Linked DNA regions of Notamacropus eugenii. The protein of the gene in region 3 interacts with the protein of the main gene of each other region in a pairwise test. Links are inferred from orthologs where the notes say so. Each region holds a gene or a part of one and is shown on either strand. Other genes may lie near its edges.

Region 1 (3,748 bases), on a different chromosome or scaffold from region 3:
TTTTCCTGTATTTCTTGCTAACCTCTACTCTTCCTTCCCTTTGTCCTTTCTAATTACCCGCAAAGAGTCTCAGTCAGAGGCAATGACGTGGGATGCTAAAAAGGGGGCTGCTGGAGACTAGATCAGATGGCCTTTTTCAGATGCTAACATTAGGAGAGGTTGCCTGGAAAGGGAAACTAGGAAGACCTGGGATGGAAATCCCCATTTTGATTTATAGTAGCTGTGTGACCCTGGGCAAGTCATTTAGACTCTAGTAGAATCAAACTGAGGTTCCCTACACCAATGAAATTCCTATTCTAGTCCCTATCATTGAGTCCACAGTTCAGAGAAACACTAGATGGTGCTAGCGGTTAAAATAACCTGGTGCCTTCACACACATCTTAACCACCTGGCTTATTTTTTCCGGTTTTCCATTCAGGTGAATGGGTACTCAAAGGGCACCCTTTTGAGTGCCCCTAGCACCCTAAATGCTCAGTATCTCTGTGAGCAAAGGAATGTGTTTAATCCCGTTGAAGATAAGCACCCACCAAGTCTCCTTGAAAACTCCTCAGACAAATACTGCAAGCCCTGGTTAGGACCTGACTGAGTAGTTCACCCCCAGGCAGTGCCACCAGCCCTCTCTGTCCCACAGCTAACAGCTTAGGTGACTGCCTCTTCGGGCACGCGATTAGTCAGATCCACGCTGGGGCAGGGCTTGGAATGTACTGCAGCTTGAACTGTGCCCCCTGACCCCCCTACATTCCTCAGGGCTAGGCTGAAGGTGATCTCATGGGCTGACCCACTCAGAGGTTAGGATTTAGAGTTGGAAGAAAAACCCAGGCCTCCCTCTTTTAGAGATTTTCCTATGGGTAAAGTGACTTGCTCAAAGTCCTACAGTAATATAGTAACCACCAGTCATGAACTTGGTTCTTGTGATTCAAAGTGGGTGCTCTTTTCTTAGTTCCATTTTAGAAACTAAGAGGGGTAGGGTAAAGAGAGTGAACCATCCCCCCCACCTTTAGTCTCTTCATTTTCCCTGCTCACCCCTCCCCCCCAAGCTTGCTCTGGCGTCTCAGAGGTACCTCTTATACTCACACCTCTGCTTATTATTGACCCTGGAAATGTGAGCCCCACCAGGGAAATCCAGTCCCTTCGCAGCCGCAGCCGCAGCCCCCTCGGAGGAGGGGTGGGGAGAAGAGCGGGGCTCAGCACAGATAAAGAAAGGCCGGCTCCAGGACAGGGGTAAACCCTTCCCCAGCCCCTCCACCCCCTCTCTGGCTCCAACGCACCAAACCCTGGAACTTGTCTCTCGATGGGAAGGAGGAAGGGGCTGGCGTCTTGTTCTTGCCCCCAAAGAACGGGTGGGGAAGGTGCCTGAACACGAAATAGAAAAGGCATCACGTCAGACCCAGCTGGGTGGGAGGTCTGGCTTGAGGGTATTTCGTAGGATTTAGAGCTTATGCCTGGCACACAGTAGGCGCTTGCTATGTGCTTAATGAATGGATTCATTCATAGGACTGGATTTGGATCCGGAGAGTTCTACTAGTTCAAGCCCCTCTGGTTTTTTACAGCCGAGGAAACTGAGGCTGGGGGGCCAAATGACTTGCCCAAGGTCATACGGGGGTGGTGGCCATGACTCCAGATGGAGGGTTTTTGCCCCAAAAAGGCTCTCACGGGGTCGGCCAAATTTCCTGGGGGGAGGAGGGGAAGAGGGGGCGGGGCACTTGGGGGAGCTGGCGTGCTACGGGATGTGGGGTTTCCTGGCCTCTCCACCACCACCCCCCCCACACCGCCCCAGACACCTTCCCCCTCACACTCGCTACCCGGCACCCCCATCCAGCCCCTAGCGCCGGAGCCCGGACCGGGCACGGTCTGGGTCCCCTGGACTGCCCCTCCTGGGTCCCAGGGATAGGGTTATGGGTGGGTGGGATATGGGGGATGGGAAGGAAGGCCCTAGGAGCCAAAAGGGATCTCAAACCAGAAGGGCTTGGGGGTAGGGGCGAAGGAGGACCAGGAGTTCTGCAGTCCCCTCTCCACCCCCTCTATTAGGTCTCGCCCCCTTTCCCGAGCGTGCACATGCGCCCCGGGCTTGGGAACCCCATATCCCCTCCACTCCCACCCATTGCACTGACCATAGTGACCGGAGCCTCTGGAAATCGTCCCGCCCCAGGGAGAAGGAGATCCGGCGCGGGAGGGCGCCACAGAACGATATCTCCAGCTCAGATCGGTCGGGGGCCCCCGAGGGGTGCGGAGTGTAGAGCAAAATACCCGACCGCTCACCAAACAAGAGGTGAGATCTTCACTGTGTCCCAGTAAGATACACACCCTGGGCTTGACGCCTAAAGGCTGCAATCAGAAGCCGCGAAGCGTGGACGTCACAGAAAGAGGGCGGGATTTCAGTTGGCTTTAGCCTATGTGTAGGCCTCCAGTAACTGAACGCCACCCTCTTTTAAAAAGACAGAAACCTCAACTACAAGAGTTAAACCTCAAAGGACTGGTCCCATTTTGAAAGGCTGAATGAACTTGTGTGTTTTGAAAAATAAAATGTAAAATGATGTTTCTGCAGTCTATTTTAGATTCCATTCTTTAAGACTTCCTTATCATATGAATTTCTCAGTAAACAACAGGTTTACATAAAAATTGTTTACCCAAGGTCAGAGGACCAGGAACTTGGCTTGCCTACACAGTACTTGGCTCATTGTCTAGCTAGCATCTAGCTTCATGTTATTCATAATAATAGCTTTTCTTCCTGTCCCGTGGAATGGTATTAATCTGCATTCATTCCATAATAAGAGGGGTCATTAGTACAGTCTGTCAAGGTTTGCACAAGGTTTCCAACACATATATTATTCATGTGAAATTGAATAGTGCTACAGGTAGTATTTCCCCCATTTTACAGATTGGGAAACGGAAATTCGGAAATGTTAAGTGACTTGTCTATGTTCATAAAGCGGTATTAGCAACAAACCCAGGTCCTCTTGAGTCTTGAATCAGGACACCATAGAACGTCCACAGACATTTATTTATGTATGTGTACTGAGAGTGCTAATACTTGAACTTGGGTTTCTGGACTCCTAGTTCATTGTCCTTTCCATTTGCAGTATGATTTCCGTTTTTTGGAATAGTGGAAAGTATGAATGTATGAACAGGTCACTGCTTATGCGCAATGACTACAACAAAAAAGAACTGCTGTTTTCATCTCTTAAAAACTTTTTTTTATTGATTATATTTTTTGTTTTTACATCACCTTCCCAAATATATCTTTCCCTTGCTCCCCAAACAGCCATGCTTTGTAACAAATGTAAATGACAAAGATGAAATAGAAATAACCCTATTCAATGACCCTGTGGTAATAAGCAACAGGTGAAAAATAAAGATCTGTGATCATGGAAGGTGTTAACAATTGTGATGAGATAGATTCAGCACAGAGTTCACATTGAAGAGGAATTCGCCTTGGATGTTGAGATCCTCTAGGTTTGTGGATGGCATTGTGCCAGTTGAACCAAACTTTTAAATATTGCAGAAGAATTGAAAGAAATCTATAATCGCTCAAAGTAGTTTTTCGTATTCATCCACATAGGAAAGATCAAGTGTATAAATAAAGTCTAGTGCCCAAATTTCAACCTGCATTTGGTTGAACTCACTAAAGAGCTTATCCAACAGCATGTGAGTCTGGTACGGTAAAGATGGGCAATGAATTGTGTCCAGAGCTGAATGGGAGAAAGAGAGCAAAAACCTTGATTGCTTATGGGAAATTGCAAATCTGTGC
Region 2 (3,748 bases), on a different chromosome or scaffold from region 3:
TTTTTTAACCTAGAAAGATAAACAAACCCCAAGGCTATGAATGCAGAGCTCCCTTACAATAGCAGTCTGAAACTGGTTACAATTTTCAAAAGGTTATTTTGATTTTATAGCCATCCCACCTTCATTTACCTTCAGAAACAAAATATGATGTAGTATTTCCTAAACAACTCAGAATCATGGTATTTTATATGAAAGTTTGTATATTGACCTTTCCTGAACATATTTACTTTAAGAAACTCACAAACTGTTCAAGTTTACAAAACATTCTGTATTCAACTACAGTCCTGAAATTAGCAAAATATTTCTAATGCAGCCCACATGTTCACTGAATCTCAAGTGCAATGATTCTGGTATAAATATTACTTCTAACTGGAAAAAAAAATCACTTTCACTCCATGAGGCCAGGTTACCATCCAAGAGATAAATGTTCTGACAGTAGCCCACAGTGTGTAATTATAATAACAAGTCATGCCAGCTTTTTTTTTTAACAGGAAAATGCCTAGTTTGTCATTTAATGTCTAGCTGTTTTCTGTTCGTGTTTTTTCCCTTCTGCCCTTTTCAAAACAAAGGGTTAGTCCATTTCTCCATTTCTACTATGTACAAAAGCTATCACAATCCAAATTGAAGCAAAACTGCATTTAATTCCATTCAAATGAAACAGTTACCAAGCACCTTCAAAGAGCCAAGGTCTAGGGATAGAAGACCGAAAGAGGACAGACAGTTCCTTACCCTGGAAGGGCTTACATTCTACCTGCACAAAGAGAAGTAATACAATGTGATTTGAGGAAGGAGAAACACTAAAAGCCATAGGGAAAGTGAGGTACTTGATCTTGCATTTCTTTAGGAAACATAAGAAATTCTATCTATACCAGATAAATGGGAAAAGATAGGATGAGCATAGGAATAAGTGGGGAAATCTACAATTTTATGAAAACTTTCATACATGATGTCCACACATACACACAAAACTGCTAAGAACCAGAAAGTTTCAATACTGTCTAGGTCAAGAAGTATCTTATTATCTCGAAGGTCTTGGGTGAATTACTAGACATTTAGAAATATCCCACTAAAAAAGAAACTAGGCATGCATACGTACTCCCAAAGAAAGCTTAACCTTTGTACATGATGGGAAATAATTTGAGGTTCAGTCTTAGTACTTCTCTTTACACTTTTAAGTAAACATATGATGAGGCACCTTGTTAAAAACAAAAAAACAGCTACACAGAAAGATGAATCCTGGAAACATGCAAATAGGTCCAGCAGAGAGAGTGCCTGGGATCACGTCTCTCTCTCTCCCCTTTCTCTGTGTCTCTTCTATTTGTCTCTCTCTCCCTCTCTCTCTCTCTCTCTCTCTCTCTCTCTCTCTCCCCCTCTCCCTCCCCCCCCTCCCCCCCGCTTGGTCCCGCAAAGAAGCAGTACTCCATCTTCCTTAGCAAAGGTAAGAGGCAAAATGATCACAACAGTTGTGGGGAGGGAGAACCCCCCCACCAAACAAACCCAGGGAATTCCGGTTTCCAAGCAGGCTGTAGAGGAACAAAAATGTGCCGTGTGCCCCTGCTCCAAAGTGTGCCAGGCACCAGGCTGCACAAAAGACCAATCCACCCCCCCGGTCCACACCGACACACACGTACACCAAGCGCCAGGTCTTTTCCTGCCTGGCCAACGGGTGTGTGTTGGGGGGTGGGGGGAAAGGGAGGAGATGGAAGGGAACCAGAGAAGTCACATGTCACGGAGAAGATACAATGTGCAATCATCTGGCAATTAGAGAGAATCTCCCAAGATTAAACTGGACACTTTTCAACCTGACATTTCTGCTGTACTTTCCAAAGACTTAGTTGCCAGAGCCTGGGGGAGGGGAGGGGGGAGGGGGGAGGGGGCAGGGAGGCTGGAGAAGGATGGGTAGAGGAGGACGAGGGCTGGGCAGACGAGGGGGAGGGGAAGGGGTCGGAGGGGGATGGGGGAAAGAAGGGGGGCGGCGGAGGACAAGGGCAGAGGGAGGAGGAAGAAAGTAGGAGAAGATGGAAAAGAGGGGGGGGGAAATGGGGCAGGAGCCGGGAGTGAGGGGGTGGCAGGGGGCGGGCGGGGGAGGGGCGGGGGACCGCGGCCGCCCCCGGCCGGTTACCTGGGCTGGGGAGAGGGGGCGCAGGTCGCCGTCTCGTGCCGCTCCCGGAGGAGAAGGAGGAGGAGGAGGAGGGGGAGGCAGGGGCGTCCGCCGGCCGCGGACTCAGGGACCCCCGGAGCCCCCCGGGGCCCGGCCGCTCTCCTCCCTCGCTCGCTCTAGCCCCGCTCTGGCTCCCGCCGCTCCCGCGTCCTTCCCCTCGGGCTCGGGCTTCGGCTGCTGCCGCCCCGGACTCTGGGAAAAGTGAATCCACCAGCACCTCGCGGACCGCGCCGCCTCCGCCCGCGCCCGCGCCCCCCGCGCCCGCGCCCGCGCCGCCGACGGCTCCGGCTCCCAGCCGTGCGCGCGCCCCACGTCCCCGGAGCGGCTCCCTCCCCGCCCCTCCCTCCCGGAGCCGGGCGCGCGCCCGAGCCAGGGGGCGGGGGCAGCCCCGGGAGGCGCGCGCCCGCCCGCGGGCACGAGGCTCCTCCCTCCCGGCGAGGGGCGGGGGCAGCATGGGGTCGGGGTGGGGGTGGGGGGGAAGAGAAAGCAAGAAAAAGTAAAGTGACAGCTGAGCCCCGCGCGCCGAGGGGGGAGGGGAGGCCGGCTGGGAGGAGCTCGGAGGGGGAGGGGTGGCCGGGGTGGGGGAGGGGAGAGGGGGCGAGGGGACCTTGGCAGGGACGTGGCGGGCGCGCGCGTTAAAGGGAAACACTGACAAGGAGGGGGAGGGGAAAAGAGTCAGAAAAAGGTGGGGGGCGGGGGGATGGGGTGGAGTGGAGAGCTTCTCCCGAGGAGTGGGCAGGACGGAGGTGGGGAGGAGAATGTGGGCCCAGAAAGTCACCCAGGAGCAAGAGAGAACCCCCCCATCTGTCTGTCTGTCCTTCCTCTCCTCTCCCCTCTCTATCACACACACACACACACACACACACACACACACACAGACACGCACACACACACAGACATACACACCCATAGACACACACAGACGTACACACATACACACCCATAGACACACACACACACACACACACACACACACACACACACACACACACACACACACACACACACACACACACACACACACACACACACACACACACACACCCCTTCCCATGCACATCGGGAATTCAAAAAAGTTTAGCCAGGCTGCTGACCTCTGAAACCCACAGGACTGGGGATAGGGGAGGGCATCGGGGCCTCCGGGCTGCGGGACCTCTCTCTGCCCCGGACCGCGCCGCCTCCCCACCCACGACCGAAGCCACCTGGGGGCCCTCCCGCCGGGGAGGATGGGGTCCGGGACTCCACCTTGAATGGGGTGTGCGGGAGTCAGGCCTCTCCAAATCCAGGACCCAGGCAGCTGCCGAGGCTGGGCAGCCGTGGGATCCGGACCAGCTCCGGGAAAGCTGCAGACCTAGTGTAATTATGCCAGACGAAGCCCTCCTGGTGACAAGGGCCAGAGTCCTGGGCGACACAGAGGCCGCAGGCTACAACTAGAGAAATCAGGGTAGGAAAATCCCGGGGGAAAACCACCCAAAGCCTAATTCCACATTCCCCGGATAAGAAAACCCTTTCCCCCAGTGACTCCTTCAAACAGGGCCAATCTCTCAAACCCCCTAAGCCACTGGTAGAATCAGGTGCTGAAAACTG
Region 3 (3,748 bases):
CAAACCTGCCTAGTCCGGTTATTTCCAGTTAAAAACGGGAGGGTCCAAGACAATCCCGGTATCCTCAAGGCCATGGGGGGGGAGGAGACAGAGAAATTAGCATTTTCATTCCACGAAAGGCCAATTAGTATCCTGCGGGGGCCTCCAACAAGGGTCTGGGGGGGGGGTTAATGCAGGGAGTTAGAAGGGCAACGGAGCATAGCGGGGTCCCAAAAGCACTGCGTGGGGCTGCCCAGGGACAAGGATGGGGACCGCAGACAGGCCGACTGACGGGCTGCCCAGGAGGAACCTTTACCGGCGCGCGCCGGAATCCAGGAACTGGAATCCTCAAGCCTCGCCCCCTCCCTCCCTGAATTCCCTCTCCCCACCGGGACAGGCACCCAATCCAATCAGCAGCTGGCATCGCCTTAGCAACAGGCTAACAAACCAAACTCCGCCTATCGCTGCCGGCACGGGGCGTGGCCTCGGTTACCAGGCTAGTTTGAGAGGTCCCTGGTCTAAGTCATTGAAACTATTCCAGGTTAACGTCGGTCCGCGTTTGGTCGGACTGGGGGTGGTGAGTGGGTGGGGGTGGGTGATAACAGGTTCTTGTTAATGAAATATGGCAGACACAAATTAAAGTGTATTCTGCGCTCTCATTTTTTCCCATCATTCTTCCCTACCCCCAGCCATTGCGAGTCTCTCTTAACTACGTCTTTTATATCTACTCAACAATTTACCTACCCCCTTCCCCCCGCCAAAAAAAAAAATGGATAATTTAGGTGATTAGTTGCAAACTCCGGTGGCTACTTTTAAATAAGCACCAGGAATGTGATTAGGCATTTGCTCTTTATAGGGTGGTTCGATGTTTGAGGGCCTTAACAATGAAAGTCTGCACATCATGGGCAGATAGTTTTAAAATGTTTTATTCTATGGAAACGTCATTTTCCCCGTAACACCCTGACATGCTGCATCGTACATGGAAGTGAGATTATCTTTCATTTATGCCTACATTTGACTGAGGCTTGAGATGGCATCATTTAGGTAGGAATATAAATTGCTTAAAAAGAGGGGAAAATAGGCAAAATATCTCAAATTCTTAGTTTTATCTGCAAAATCGTCAACGTCTGAACTAAATACTGCATTAAAAAGGAGAAGGACCAAGAATTACATAACCAGTTTTAACATTATAGTCTGGTGCTAGGAATTAAGTCATCGCCACCACCTGACGCGTGTAACCAATCTGCTGAGAGCAGAACAGGCGCCCCTCCTCACCCCCCCAGTACTGGTCCGAAACAGGATTGAACCGCTTCTAACAAAGGGTGGAAACTTAGAAAAACAAGCTTAGAGTCTGCTATATTTCCACAATGTATCCATTCAAACAATAGATTAGCAATCTCAGGACCCCTTCCCCCTTTGACAGTCTTTATCTTCCTTTTTTAACCAAAATCAGACCTAGCGTGAGAAGTCCTTTACATTTCCTTTTGACTGGCACCGGTTTCATTCAATGTATGTTCCAAAGTTAGAAATGATGCTCTTAAAAGAAAAGAATTGACCCTAAATGGCCTCTTGGTCAAATTTTAAAGCTACCATGATGATAGTCTTTTTTTTTTTCATTTTTTCTAAGAAAAGATAAAAAGGTAGCTTGATGTGAATTTGGAATTGAATAGGAAAGAAAAAAATAACACGTGGGGTGTTTGATAGCATATGTCAAAATAAGCTACGGGAAGCCCTTTTTCAAGGAACAATGATTAATTCTGAAATTATTGCATGTCGATGTTAAAATCTAAAATGCACCTCTAAGCGTTCATTAGAAGATGCTACTCCATGCTTTTATTGCAACTCATTTTGTAGAGCCAAGGTTGCAAAGTAAAAAAAAAAAAAACCCCACAAAAAACCAGTTGAGATTCGACTCCAGTTTCTAGCAATGCGTTTGGAAACCATATTATTAAAATGCTGAAATCTGATGGAAGGAGCTATTAGAAATAAGGTACACATGAATTGCAAGTGCGTATTGCAAGAGGCTTATAGAGATGTTAGAGGTAGTTAGCAAAGTGTTCTTATACAGTCACTTTGCAGATGGCTCGAATGCATTGCTGCTTAACACTCGATAGATGTCAAAAAAAATTCAGATTTTCAAGTCTGCAAAAAAGATTCTCTACAACAAACGTTCAGATTTCAAACTGAAAAGCCAAGAGTTAAATTGCACCAATTCATAGAAAATAAGAGGCAAGTTAAAGAAAATCATATTCCTTTATGACTTCTGAATAATCAAAAAAACTTACCTCTTTCATGCCCAATTAAGATGTCTTTATGGTTGAAATATTCTACTTCTTCAGTGTAATTCTGTGTATAGGCAGTGTTGGATCCAGCATTTCTAGATTCGGTCCAGCGTACTTTCGCATGTCCTCTTGCATGAATTTTTAGAGATTTTACTCTGATTTCCCCAGTAACTTCTAAATTCACTCTTCCTGAGACTGTATCCCCACTAGAATATACAGGGACGTTACTGTCATTAAGACAGTCAAAGCTTATTGTCAAACTCTTAACCTTCCCCAGCACCATGATTATAACAAAATCTATAAAAAAATATAATGTAAGACCAAAAAAAGGTCAAGATCACATATAAAATGCGATCTTCACTAAACACTGATCGATGTCTTTGCCGTGCAAAAGGCTTGCAGGCAGGATCAGTGCCTTCTTTACAAATAGTTCATTGAGGTTTCTTAAAAAGTCACAGCACTGGATGCTGCTGCTTCTCAGATCAGTGGTCTCTGTACAAAGACGGGTGGCTACAGCTTGCCAGCTCACTTTAAAACCAGCTTTGTGAAAAACAACCCCACAGAGCATGCGCACGGCTCTGCTGCTGCCTTTTTCCTCCCCCCTCCCTCGCGTCCCTCTTCCTTTCTGGTACAGTAGGTGTAGAACAGAGGGAAGAAGACTGCTGTAGACGGAGAGCTGAACCTGACTTCTCTTCATTGAGTGTTCCTATTGGTGCGCAGGCTACCGTAAAACTCCAGAAGTGGGATGGGAGGCTTTACTACCGAGCAGATTCGAATAGCCGTGATAGAGCCGTAATGGCAGAGCAGGGGACACGAGGGGACGCAGGCGGAAGGAGGCCAGGGTGGCTGCTGCTGCTGAACCGCTCGCCCAGGGCGTGCACGGAGGGCAGGGCTGACCTGTGCCCACCGGGCACTGCTGGAGAAAGAGGAGAGGGGGAGGGGGAAGGGAGAAACCTGTTGGACGGGCCGGTATAACGTGATCTGATGAATTTCAAGAGAAATTGCAATAAAAAAATGACAACAAACCCAGGCTTTAAATATGTGGTTAACAGACAAATTCAGGGAGGATGGATTGGACACTTTGTATTTGTTGCTGTTCGAGGTAGGGTGAAATTGACTCCATGGAGGTCAAAGGAATCCTGCCTTTCCTTTGAGAATCTTGCCATGGACGAGGAGAGAGGCCAGTTGAATTTAAGCAGAGCTGTGTGCCCTCTCCATCTCTAACCTCCATTGCCATGAAAAACAACCAACGACCAAATAATTAGGGCTGACCACTTCCTTAAAAGAAAGAGTCCTGTTTAAAGGAACCACCTACAAATCGTATTTTAAGGGTTTGACAAGAAGTGCTGAGAGGACTTCAAGAATTGTCTGGTTTAAATAAGAAATGAAACCTTAGAAAACACAAGACCAAGTGTTTACTTAGACATTCTGTTTACAAAAAGAACAAAACACTGTAGGGAGAAATAGTGTGGATGATTTTTTTTTAA

Evidence for each region.
Region 1: the proteins of ARRDC3 (region 3) and OTUB2 interact in binary tests that used the Homo sapiens proteins (3 or more experiments, as listed by UniProt). The two-hybrid records come from large-scale screens. The link is inferred for Notamacropus eugenii from reciprocal best matches to the Homo sapiens genes ARRDC3 and OTUB2.
Region 2: the proteins of ARRDC3 (region 3) and UBE2E2 interact in binary tests that used the Homo sapiens proteins (3 or more experiments, as listed by UniProt). The two-hybrid records come from large-scale screens. The link is inferred for Notamacropus eugenii from reciprocal best matches to the Homo sapiens genes ARRDC3 and UBE2E2.

Annotation. Positions count from the first base shown.
Region 1 is NC_092878.1:35,625,997-35,629,744, forward strand, and holds the start of OTUB2 (ubiquitin thioesterase OTUB2), read right to left. Parts: upstream 2,303-3,748; 5' UTR 2,115-2,302; coding exon 2,112-2,114; intron 1-2,111. UniProt on the Homo sapiens protein: Hydrolase that can remove conjugated ubiquitin from proteins in vitro and may therefore play an important regulatory role at the level of protein turnover by preventing degradation.
Region 2 is NC_092874.1:31,288,571-31,292,318, forward strand, and holds the start of UBE2E2 (ubiquitin-conjugating enzyme E2 E2), read right to left. Parts: upstream 2,420-3,748; 5' UTR 2,123-2,419; intron 1,649-2,122; exon of another isoform or gene 1,498-1,648; intron 1-1,497.
Region 3 is NC_092875.1:449,016,775-449,020,522, reverse strand, and holds the start of ARRDC3 (arrestin domain-containing protein 3), read right to left. Parts: upstream 2,552-3,748; 5' UTR 2,545-2,551; coding exon 2,265-2,544; intron 1-2,264. UniProt on the Homo sapiens protein: Adapter protein that plays a role in regulating cell-surface expression of adrenergic receptors and probably also other G protein-coupled receptors.